3 linked regions of the Callithrix jacchus genome follow. The protein of the gene in region 3 purifies or fractionates together with the protein of the main gene of each other region. This does not show direct contact. Links are inferred from orthologs where the notes say so. Each region holds a gene or a part of one and is shown on either strand. Other genes may lie near its edges. The genes, in order: CAST, CAPNS1 and CAPN1.

The links.
Region 1: the proteins of CAPN1 (region 3) and CAST purify together in Homo sapiens (co-immunoprecipitation; 4 studies listed by BioGRID and IntAct, counting the BioPlex papers as one, with this or other methods). This does not show direct contact. The link is inferred for Callithrix jacchus from reciprocal best matches to the Homo sapiens genes CAPN1 and CAST.
Region 2: the proteins of CAPN1 (region 3) and CAPNS1 purify together in Homo sapiens (co-immunoprecipitation; 4 studies listed by BioGRID and IntAct, counting the BioPlex papers as one, with this or other methods). This does not show direct contact. The link is inferred for Callithrix jacchus from reciprocal best matches to the Homo sapiens genes CAPN1 and CAPNS1.

Annotation. Positions count from the first base shown.
Region 1 is NC_133503.1:113,870,539-113,874,054, reverse strand, and holds part of CAST (calpastatin), read left to right. Parts: intron 1-1,167; coding exon 1,168-1,248; intron 1,249-1,877; coding exon 1,878-1,916; intron 1,917-2,404; coding exon 2,405-2,497; intron 2,498-2,633; coding exon 2,634-2,720; intron 2,721-3,516.
Region 2 is NC_133523.1:32,291,156-32,295,370, forward strand, and holds the start of CAPNS1 (calpain small subunit 1), read left to right. Parts: upstream 1-1,413; 5' UTR 1,414-1,507; intron 1,508-2,307; 5' UTR 2,308-2,322; coding exon 2,323-2,534; intron 2,535-2,888; exon of another isoform or gene 2,889-2,927; coding exon of another isoform or gene 2,928-2,950; intron 2,951-3,590; coding exon 3,591-3,624; intron 3,625-3,947; coding exon 3,948-4,037; intron 4,038-4,191; coding exon 4,192-4,215. UniProt on the Homo sapiens protein: Regulatory subunit of the calcium-regulated non-lysosomal thiol-protease which catalyzes limited proteolysis of substrates involved in cytoskeletal remodeling and signal transduction. Essential for embryonic development.
Region 3 is NC_133511.1:122,258,861-122,262,902, forward strand, and holds the start of CAPN1 (calpain-1 catalytic subunit), read left to right. Parts: upstream 1-1,231; 5' UTR 1,232-1,235; coding exon 1,236-1,276; intron 1,277-1,478; coding exon 1,479-1,746; intron 1,747-1,906; coding exon 1,907-1,976; intron 1,977-2,252; coding exon 2,253-2,371; intron 2,372-4,042. UniProt on the Homo sapiens protein: Calcium-regulated non-lysosomal thiol-protease which catalyzes limited proteolysis of substrates involved in cytoskeletal remodeling and signal transduction. Proteolytically cleaves CTBP1 at 'Asn-375', 'Gly-387' and 'His-409'.

The sequences.
Region 1 (3,516 bases), on a different chromosome or scaffold from region 3:
AGGCAGGAGAACTGCTTGAACCCTGGAGGTGGAGGTCGCAGTGAGCGCGGACCTTGCCATTATACTCTAGCCTAGGCAACAAGAACGAAACTCTGTCTCAAAAAATAAAAATAAATAAAAAGATATGCCATAGACTAGACAAAAATATTTTATAACAGATATAACAAAAGATTTGTTTCTAGAATTTATAAAGAATTAAAAACAAAAACGCAACCCAATGGAAAATTGGGAGAAAACTTGACTGGCCAATAAACGAGTAAATGGAACTCTCTCTAGAAATTAGGAGAATGATATTAAAACATGGAATTAACACTACTTTGCATATATGAGATTAGCAAAAGTGTGAAAGTCTGACAATTCCTGTAGCTTTCCTATAGCTGGTGGGTGTTCATGATGAGTATTCCCTTCAACCAGTAAGTCCACCTCTAGGGAGTTTCCCAGAAAAGAGCCTTGCCCATGTGTGCAAGGAGTTACAAGAAATGGTCAAAAGTTTGGAAACATAAAATTCAGTGATTTATAGTGGTTAAAATGGATTATTCATCTATCAACATGGATACATAATAAAAACATAATTTTGAATAAAAATAATGCAGACTGGTATGTAGAATATTATACCATTTATATAACATTGGAAAATAAGGAAAGTAATGCTGGAAATTGTTTATGGATACCTACGTATGTAGAAATTGTTCTCAAATAACTAAATTGACATGCTAAAGTTCAAGATGGTGACTATTTCTGATTAACAAGGAAAGAGAATTAGGTTTCAGAATGTTAAACAGAAGACATCTACTCTATCTGTGGTTTTGTTTTCTCAGAAATTACAAATCTGATACAGTTGGGTATTGGATTATACAGAAGCTCGTTATCTTATTAACTATTCTTTTGTATCAATTGGAAACATTAGATAATGAAAGCATTTGAAAGCAAAATGTATTTAGCAATCAACTTTAGTATTTTGAATAGTTTCTAGCATTACGTGAGGTAAGCCAATTAAATATGGGTGTTTGTGTAAACTTAGAAATTTAGTTATGTAAAGTATTGGCTTCTTAATGATTTATACTTCCATAAATTAATAATGGAATAGTGTTTTAGTTTCAGAATATGCATATAACATTCTCAGCTAATTAATTACGTATTGTCCCCATGTGTATGATTTTGTTCCAGGATCCAATGAGCTCCACCTACATAGAGGAATTGGGTAAAAGAGAAGTCACAATTCCACCAAAATATAGGGAACTCTTGGCTGTAAGTAAATAACCATTTACTTTTATTTCACTTTCCTTTTTAGAATATAATTTTGTATTAGTATTTTCACAATGTTTAAAAGTTAGAAAATATAATAGTGCATGTGAAATTGTCATTACTATGAAGCTCACTGTATCGATTGGCTGGGGCTGCTGTAACCAAGTACCACAGACCAGGGATATAAACAAGAGATTGATTGTCACACAGTTCTGGAGGCTGGAAGTCTAGAATCAAGGTGTCAGCAGGGCTGGGTCCCTTGAGGGCTGTGAGGGAAAGGTATCTTCAGAGCCTCTGTTTGGCTTATAGATGGGCATCTTCCCTCTGCGTCTCCTCATACCGTCTTCCTTCTGTGTCTCTGTGCGTATCTCTGGGTCCAAATTTCTCCTTTTTATAAGGACATGCATCATCATATTGGAGTAGGGCCCACCCTAATTACTTCACCTTTACTTGGTTATTTCTATAAAAAATAAATCTGAAAATCAGGTCTCGTTCTGAGGTACTGGGGTTAGGACTTCAACATATAAATCTGGAATGAGGGGCACAATTCAGCCCACAACAAGAAATACATTTGGCCAATCTTAAGGATTGAGTCCACCTTCTCAACGTCATCAAATTGATATTTGTTTCAGAAAAAGGAAGGGATCAGAGGGCCTCCTCCAGACTCTTCGGTGAGTTTACATAAATGTCTTCTGATCTAAATTAATATTTTTTATATTTTTGATTAAGGGAACAGGGCTATCAATTCTGTATTTGAGGATTATGACTTAACTCGTCTCCAAATCAAATGGAGTTGCTGTGTGTTCAGAGAAAGGGGTTGGTGTGAGTGTTGTCTCAGTGCTCCTTAGTCTCATAAGTAGGGTTTCTGAGGGGAAGGGGAATGAAAGCAAGAAAGTATTAGGATAGAATGCATGTTCATAATGATAGAATGAGAATACTCTAACATGTAGCTCCTTTAGAAAGGAGGAAGTGGAAAATAATACTTAGCGAGTAGCCACTGTCTTCAGAACATACACTTTGATCTCTGTTGTTGCATTAACACATCTCATTTGGTAGCAAAGGAATCGCAAAAGTGATTCCTTCATTTGCTAGGTTCGCAATCCATTCTTCCCCTTGAGTGGTTTCCATAAGTCACTCATCATTGTGCCTGTTTCTTTAGAAACCCATGGGGCCAGATGATGCTATAGATGCCTTGTCATCCGACTTCACCTGTGGGTCGCCTACAGCTGCTGGAAAGAAAACTGAAAAGGAGGTATTGTTTTTACTGTTGTTAAGGGAAACTTGTTAGAAACTGTTAAACTTTAAAAGAATAGTAACTTTTTAGTTCTGGCTGTTACAGTTAAACTTTCCTCATCTGTCAATCTAATCTTTTGTATTTTATTTTTCAGAAATCTACAGAAGTTTTAAAAGCTCAGTCAGCAGGTATAATCAAAAGTGCTGCTCCACCCCAAGAGAAGAAAAGAAAGGTGGAAAAGGTATAGGCACAGTCTACCTGACAGCAGTTGCTTTCCTGAGCCTGATCTGGCTCATTCAGGATACTGCCAGTAGCACATTACGTGTGATGAGAAGCCATGATCTTTTCCCTCTTGGGTCTGTCTGGAATGCTGAAGCCAATGAGGGTTCTATTGTTCATCTCCAGGCAAGCCTTGTGTGTTTCTTTTTTTTTTGAGATGGAGTTTCGCTCTTGTTACCCAGGCTGGAGTGCAATGGCGCGATCTCAGCTCACCGCAACCTCCACCTCCTGGGTTCAAGCAATTCTCCTGCCTCAGCCTCCTGAGTAGCTGGGATTACAGGCCCGCGCCACCATGCCCAGCTAATTTTTTGTATTTTTAGTAGAGGCGGGGTTTCATCATGTTGACCAAGATGGTCTCGATCTCTTGACCTCATGATCCACCTGCCTTGGCCTCCCAAAGTGCTGGGATTACAGGCTTGAGCCACCGCGCCTGGCCCCTTGTGTGTTTCTACAACTGCTTGCGGATGATTTTAGCACAGTTGTCAAAATGGTCATGATCCAAGACCATCTCACCATGATACAGAGAAGGGCAGAAACCAGAGAAATTGAACTGGCACTCTCGGAACAAGAAACCTTCAAGTTTGATTTTCTTTTTTCTTTTTTTTGAGATGGAATCTCGCTCTATCACCCAGGCAGAGTGCTGCAGTGCAATCTCGGTTCACTGCAACCTCTGCCTCCCGGGTTCAAGCAATTCTTTGCCTCAGCCTTCCAAGTAACTAGGATTACAGGTCCTGCCACCACGCCCGGCTAATTTTTGT
Region 2 (4,215 bases), on a different chromosome or scaffold from region 3:
GCCTCCAAAAGTGTGGAGATTACAGGCGTGAGCCACCGTGCCCAGTTGTTGCTTAATTTCTTTTGTAAATCAGTAGTATTCCTGCAGATATCATTTAATTTTGATAGGGGCCTAGTGGTATGGAGCAACCCATGTTCCCATTTTACAGATGAGAAAAATCGCTGCTCAAGAACATCAAGTCACTCTTTTGGGGTATGCAGTTATTACAGGCACAGCCAGGATTCAACTCAAGCCTAGCCAGCCTCCAGGATAGGGGCTAAGAGTCAGCCAGCTTGCCTGGGGGCCAGATTTAGCTCCCCGCCAGAGTCCTGAAAAAGTACTAAACACGGTTGTGTGCTATAGCTCACGCCTGTAATCTGAGCACTTTGGGAGGCCAAGGCAAGTGGATCCCCTAAGGTCAGAAATTTGAGATCAGCCTGACCAACGGGGTTTCGCCATGTTGGTCATGATTCGCCATGAATCTCGCTGTCTCCCAGGCTGGAGTGCACATGGCGTGATCTTGGCTCACTGCAACCTGTGCCTCCCCAGTTCAAGCGGTTCTCTTGCTTCAGCCTCCTGAGTAGCTGGGATTACAGGCATGTACCACCACGCCCAGCTAATTTTTTGTATTTTTTTTTTAGTAGAGACCGGGTTTCACTATGTTGGCCAGGATGGTCTCGATCTCTTGACCTCGTGATCCACCCCCATCGGCCTCCCAAAGTGCTGGGATTACAAGCGTGAGCCACTGCACCTGGCCATATTTTTTAAGTAAATAAAGAAACCAGGCCGTGCCCAAAGGAATCTTCCTGTGTCTGGGGGCTTTTGAGACTGGCATACAGAGGATACCCTTTGGGCTGGTCCAGCAAACAACGATTCTGGTGGCCCCTGACTGGGGCGGGGGCGTGGTAAGGAGAGCTTGGAAGGAGGCGCAGGCCCTGCCTGCGGTTTGACTGCCATCCGTGCTGCTGCAGGCACCCGGAAAGGCAGTCCAGCTTAAGTCCTCGCCAAAGACTCGAGCGTACGAGCCAAACCATACTCCAGGCCTCCAGGAGCTGTTTGTCGCGACAAGACCTGGAGAGGGCCGTGCGGAGTTCCTTAGTGAGTGGACCGAAAACCGCCACTCTGGAAGGGTATAGGCAGGCCCTGGGGCGAAAATTCACATTACGACACTGGGAGGGGGCGGGTCCCCTCCGAGTTCTAGTCCGCTGGCGCCTCAACCCAGACTTGAGGGGTGTGGTTCAGACCCCAGCCTACCGAGTCAGAGCGAGTTTAGGACCTCCAGAGCTGGAAACGCGCCGGGAGGAGTCCAGCCAGATTCGCGTTCCGCTAGCCTCGGCGGGTCGGGGAGCGCATGCGCAGTTTCCACTTCGGCTCTAGGACCGCGCGGGCAACTGCGGGGCCGCGGTGCAGAGTCTGACCGGAGAGTTGCGTCCTGAGTCACCGGCCCCGCCCTTCGGAGCCGGACGCAGCGGGAGGCCCGGGAGCGGCAGTGGAACGGACCCCACGGGACCTCCGGACCTGTGCGGTGGTAAGCGCCCGGCCCGTACCCTCTCCCCACCCTGCAATTCCGGCCCTGGCGGTCCCCAGACCCGGCGAGACCGTGAAGTCTCGGCCTCGGGTCCCCAGATCCATGGTCTCATATTCAAACCCCAGACATGTTCGACCCCCTTTTATGCCGTCCCGGGGACCTTTCCCCACCCTCTGTCTCATGATCCAAAATGCAGGCCCATAGATTTCCGAGATACCCCTTGAATTCTTCCTTGGTGCGTTCTGAACCGCAATCGTAGATCTGTGCCCCCAGTTCCAGCGGGGGACCCCATTATCCGGGACCCTAGGGATCACAGCCACGATCTTAGACCCGAGCCCACAGACCCAAAGGTGACACTGGAATCCTGCCGCTGGGAACATCTAAATTCTCAAGCCCGCATTTGGGATTTCCTAAACCCCGCCCTGGGGCCCTTTAGGCCGTGGATGTTTGCTCCGCGCCCATGACCCGCCAGCGACCTCTCCATTCAGTTCCGTCGGGCACGCCTTACACCAACTTGGAGTCCCCACCAAGAGGACCCCCACCAGACCCGCACCCTCCCCTTAACGCGTGCACTCAGCCCAGGCTCCCTCAAGCCCCACGGATGCCTTTTAGACCCCAGGAGGTTGCAAACCTGATTCCCCGTTCCTGCCCCACCCATCCGAGGACAATTCTCCCTCGCAGGCTCAGACCCCCACCGGGGGCCTCAGATTCCTCCTGCTAGTCCAGCTGCCGGAAATGCGTGTTTGAGGGAAGGGTGTGGGCTCAGGACGACGCAACCACTAGTCCCTTTTTTCCCCCAGCAGTGAGTCGCAGCCATGTTCCTGGTTAACTCGTTCTTGAAGGGCGGCGGCGGCAGCGGCGGCGGGGGAGGCGGGGGCCTGGGTGGGGGCCTGGGGAATGTACTTGGAGGCCTGATCAGCGGGGCCGGGGGCGGCGGCGGCGGCGGCGGTGGAGGCGGAGGCGGTGGAGGCGGCGGTGGCGGTGGAACGGCCATGCGCATCCTAGGCGGCGTTATCAGCGCCATCAGGTGAGGTGGGGACTATTGAAGGGGCGGGGCCTGTACGCGGGAGGAGCCTCAGAAGGGGCGGGGCCTGGGGAGGAGCGTAATTTAACTAGACTAGAATAGAATTAACCTGAGGCCGACCTGGGTACCTGAATTAGGCCGGGGTGGCCTGGTTTGGGAGTCCTATAAGAGGGTGGACCCCAGTGAAGGTGATACCAGTCCTTGGGGGCAGGACTTGATATGGGGGTGGTCTGATTGTGTGGATCCAGGACAATGTGGTCCTCAGGGCACTGATCTGGAGTTTTGGGGGCGGGGCTTATGGATCTGGGCCCGGCCTGTATTGGCTACCCTGGAAACGAACGTTAAAGGGGCGGAGCCAATGCGTCTGAGTGACATTTTACGGACGGAGCTTGACTTATGAGTGCGGTGAGAGGTTTTAGGTGGGTTAATGAGGATGTGAGCCCAGGAGAAACCAAGGCCTAATGAGATAGGAGAAATAGCCCAAAATGGGCTGGGCCTGCTGGAAACTGGCTGGATTCATGTAGAAAAATGTCCTGATAGGGGTAGGGCAGGTTTGCCTAATTAGCCATGGCCACTTAACAATGATCCCTTGAAGGGGCGGGGACCTGTGGTTGGATGTTGGGAAGATAGCCATTTAAGAAGAGGGCCATGGAGTAGGGTCTTGGACAGATGGCACCTAAGGAGGATGAGGCCTTGGGAAGCTGGGGCAGAGCCTCTATAAAGTGAGCTCTCCAAGGGGCAGGGTTTGTTGATTCTGTGTGGGATTTTTAGGTCGAGGGTGGCCAAGATGGCTGGAATCTGCCCTTGGGTAGGTATGCCTGGCAGGAGTGGAGCCTCCCAGGGGACTGGTCTCTAGGTTTCCTCGAGGGTAGGGTTGGCCTGATGAAAGGAGAAGGGGGGCAGGACCAGGGCAGGGTGGATTAGGACAGGTGAAGGCAAGAACAGGTAAGGGGCACAGCAACCAAGTAAGGAAGGTGGCCTCGGGGCCAATGGTTCTGCCCCTCTGCCCGTTGGAGGCCCCGCCCCAGGCGCTAACCCCTCCCCCTTATCTCTTCGCAGCGAGGCGGCTGCGCAGTATAACCCGGAGCCCCCGGTAAGCCCCCTCTGCAGCCAGCCAAACTTCTCCCTCCAAGGCCTCTTCGAGGTCCCATCCCTGTACCTGTAGGGAAGCCCCACCTTCCACCACTTCTTGTGACATTCCTCTGCCAGTTCTTCCCGGGCCATGTCCGCAGCTTCGCCATGGGGTTTAGCCATCCCTGACATACACACTCCCCATTCGCTGCCACCCCTCATTCTTTTTCTCATCAAGCCACCCAGCCCACTATGACTTCCCCACCCAGGGTGCCTCAATGTGAGGAGCTGTCCTGGGCGGGTCCCCTACCCCCACCAGCTCTGAGCTCTCCTCCCTCTCTGCAGCCTCCACGCACACATTACTCCAACATTGAGGCCAACGAAAGTGAGGAGGTCCGACAGTTCCGGAGACTCTTTGCCCAGCTGGCTGGAGATGTAAGTAACCTGGGGTCCCTGGCCCCGTGCTAACCCTTCCATCCCTCCCATCCCTTCCCTTGTGGCTGTGTAACAATCCCAATGTTCCCATTCTCCACGACATTTTCAGACCCCTTTCAGTCACCCCTGACCTCCCCCTAACTTCCGCCTGCAGGACATGGAGGTCAGTGCCACAGAA
Region 3 (4,042 bases):
GGGTGGGCTGAGAGCTTGGGGGAGAGCGGCAGGGACTTACCCAAGGTCACGCAGCGAGCCCGGTCCCCTCGCGTTTCCCCTGGGGTGGGGGCGGGGAGAGGCGCGGCCCCGCGGGTTGGGTTGCCGTTTGCGGAGTGTCCGGCAGGGGTCTGCTCGCCGCCAGCCCGGCCCCTCCTTGGAGCAGCTGCCGCAGCCCGAGGTAATCTCGGCCTCGCGCCGGGGCTGGCTGGGAGCGGCGGGAACAGCTGCGGCAGCGCGGAGCGAGGGGCGCAGGGGACGGCGTGGGGGACGGGGAGGGCCCGGGGCTGCGGGAGGCGGCGCCGCCGTCTGATCACCGGGGAATGCCCGGCGGGGCTCGCGTGGGGTGTGGCAGCCCGGCCCTGCAACTCGAGCTGCTGCCCCTGGTTAAAAATACCCCCTGCCAGGCCCTCCCCCACCCCCTCCCCGTCCCGCGGCGCCCTTCCGTCCGCGCCCTGGCCCCACCCGCGCTGGCCCCTCCCCGGGGACTGCGCTGCCTTTTACTAATTTGTCCTCTCGCGGAATTGGCCCCCGGCCTGCGGAGGGAGGGGCGGGAAGACACCGTAAGAGATAGTCAGAGACGGTGCCGGAGAGATTAGGGGGAGCCGAGAGGAAGCGGGGTGGGATCCCCGGGAGGAGAAGGAGGAGGAGAAGGAGAGAGGGAGGGCGGAGGGCGGGGAGGAGCCCTCTTCCTGGTTGGGCCCTGCCCTGAGCTGCCACCGGGAAGCCAGCCCTAGGGACCGCAGCGACCCCCAAACAGTACTCCTCCAGGTAAGAAGCTGGGTGCCGAGCCGGGATTCCTTGACCCCGGCCACTGCTCCCGGGCTGAGGGGCTGCCCCAGCTCGGCCCCTTCTCGGGGCCCTCTGCGTGCTTGGGGCAGGGGCGGGGGCTGTCGAGCGGCACAGTTCAGGCGCCAGTCCCAGCCTGGCTCACCGCTGTCCCCAGGGGCTGGGCTGGGTCCCTCTAGCTCTGATAATGGAGCCTGCTGCGAGGGCCTGAGGAGGGGGGACCCCAACTGTGGGGTTTTCAGCCCACGGCAAGGGTCCGGTGCACAAGGAGCGTGGCTAGTTTGGGGAGGGGGTTGCAGGCCTGTGAACAGGATCAAAGAGGCCTGCCCTGCCGTGTCCCACCTGCCCAGTTCCTGTGCTGTCTGGAGGCTCCGCCCTGCCCCATCTGACCTGCTGCTGGCTCACCACAGAGCTGCAAGCCCCTGACAATGGGATCTAGGCAAGGAGAGGTGGTGGCTGGCTCGCCAGGGTACTGGGAAACCCCTTTCCTGGATTCACTGGGAGTACCGAGAGGTGGCTGGAAACCCTGCATTTGTGAGGGGATCAGTAAGGCAGGAAACTCCAGGTCTGGGGATTGATAAGCAGGGGCAGGACAGCCACGCTTGCAGGCAGGAGCCCAGGTTCTAGACTTGGGAAGGCCTGGGTTCTGAGCAGGCCCATCTCTCCCGCAGGATGGCGGAGGAGATCATCACGCCCGTGTACTGCACCGGGGTGTCAGCCCAAGTGCAGAAGCAGCGGGCCAAGGAGCTGGGCCTGGGCCGCCATGAGAATGCCATCAAGTACCTGGGCCAGGATTATGAGCAGCTGCGGGCACGATGCCTGCAGAGTGGGACCCTCTTCCGTGATGAGGCCTTCCCTCCTGTGCCCCAGAGCCTGGGTTTCAAGGAGCTGGGTCCCAATTCCTCCAAGACCTATGGCATCAAGTGGAAGCGGCCCACGGTGAGAGGGGCCATCTGGGGTGGGACTCAGCTGAGCCCAGATCCTGGATGAGGAGTAGGAATGACAGTCCATATCCCTGGTGGGGAATGGGGTCTGGGGTGGCCGGGTGCCAGTTTCTGGGAGGTGCTGGGCCAGGGACAGGACTCTGGCTCTCTCGTAGGAGCTGCTGTCAAACCCCCAGTTCATCGTGGATGGAGCCACCCGCACAGACATCTGCCAGGGAGCACTGGGTAAGCCCCCAGGGGGGGGTGGGGTCCCGGGTGTTTTTTCCACAGTAGTTCCCCATTCCCGCTCCTTCAGGCTCTGCCCCAACTCCTCCCTCCTGCAAGCCCAGGCAGGCTCTGGCTATCAGTGCTGGGCTGGTTTGCCTAGATTCTTTTCTGCAAGCTTAGCGGAGTTAAATGGCACTCTGGCCAAGGAACCCCAGATTCTCCCCAGCATGAGCACCCACTTCCCCCCTGTGGCAGGTGGGTAGAGCAGACTGATATGCGTTCATCCTGCCCCAGGGGACTGCTGGCTCCTGGCGGCCATCGCCTCCCTCACTCTCAACGACAACCTCCTACACCGAGTGGTTCCGCATGGCCAGAGCTTCCAGGATGGCTATGCCGGCATCTTCCATTTCCAGGTGAGCGCCCACCTGGGGAGGGGGGGCAGCAGGCACTAGGGGAGATGTGGACCGGAGTTAGGGCCACACCCTTTGGGGCCAGCCCTCCCTCCAACAGGTATTTGACCTCTCAGTGCCATCTGGGGTCTGTCATGTGTGAAGTAACTGGGCTGGGCAGGTATTTGGGCTGGCAGTTTTCCTTGGTGATGGTATGTATCAGGTGGAAAGTGCTTGAAAGAACAGAAAGACTTTTGTGTTACATTCTGTGGGACAAATTTCGCTCCTCTCCGGGGCCGGTCTCAGTTGCCCCATCTGAGAAAGGAGTGCTCCCTGGGGAAAACATCAGCACGTGTGGCCTTCTGCACCTGTCAAGCCTCCCATCCCCCCATCCCCCAATCCTCCTGCACTTTGGCAAGGTCTGGCTGACCTCAGCAGAAAAGAAAGACTTGGGATTAAGTCTATGGAAACCAGCTTCTTCTGATGGTGTGCCCAGGGCCCATTTTTCAAGTCACACCAATCAATTCTCAATGAGCTGCCATTGGGAGGGACATGCCCAGCAACCCCTGATGAGACCCTCAGGCCTTGGAGGCCCCAGCCCTGCCCGAAGGTGTCCTGGGTGTCCCCTCCTTCTGCCTGGTTAGAGAGCCCCTTATCCTATTCCGTCCTTGCCTGACGTGTGGGTGGAGGTGGCCCTCAGAACCCAAGGTGCAGAACCCACAGTGTGGACCCACTTTGGCCCAGCACCACACCCACCTGCTGTGGTCTGTGGTCTGCTGGGGCGCAGCCTTGCCCCCTTCCCTGCCCCCTTCCCTCGCTCCTCCAGTTCACTTCTCCCTAGTCTCTGATTGGCCAGTTCTGTACCTGCCACCCACCCACTTTGCAACCTGGGTTCCTGCTACCTGGGCTCCCGGCTGCCTCCTCTCCTCCCCTGTTGTCCTGGCCCTGACCCCTCAGATAGTACCTGGAGTCCTTAGTTGCTTCTGACCCCAGATGCCTTGGGCCCTGCCCCTGCCCTAGGAAACCTGCCTCTTGTGGCATCTCTGAAACAAAGCCTGTGATTGCGAGAACTAGTCCTGCTCACCTTGTGGCTGTAGGGTCTGGATGCCACATTTTCACTCCTCATCCAATGACATGGGTGTCCCCTAACCCCCTAGAATAGGGAGGGAAGAGCTAGGAGGCCATGGCCTAAAAGGGAGATAGTTCCAGAAAGCCCAGGCCTGAGAGCTTTCCCACCCTGTTTGTTCAGTGACTCACGAAAGGCTTTGCTGGTGTGCTCTTGTTTAAGTCTTCTTTGAAGAAGGTGCTGCTGCTCCTTTTTATGGATAGGGAAACTGAGGCTCAGAGGTGATACCTTTCCCAGGATCATGTATCTAGTATATCTCGACCATACATGTACATATCAGGTATACACATCTCTAATCTATATGTGGTATGCATGTATTAGTATATAGCATATATGTGTATATCTAGTATATACTATACAGGCAAGGGAAAGCATCTCTTAGCCCTCTGAAGGTTCACTGAAAAATCAACTCCCAAAAGGAGGTTAGTAGGAGAAATGGCATACAAATTGACTAGCCTGCAGGGTGGGGTTGGGAACCACAGAGTGATCACGCCAGCCCAGCAATGGTACAAAGCTTATATACCATCCTGAGGCTACACGAAGAATGGAGGCTCAAACACAGCCAAAAC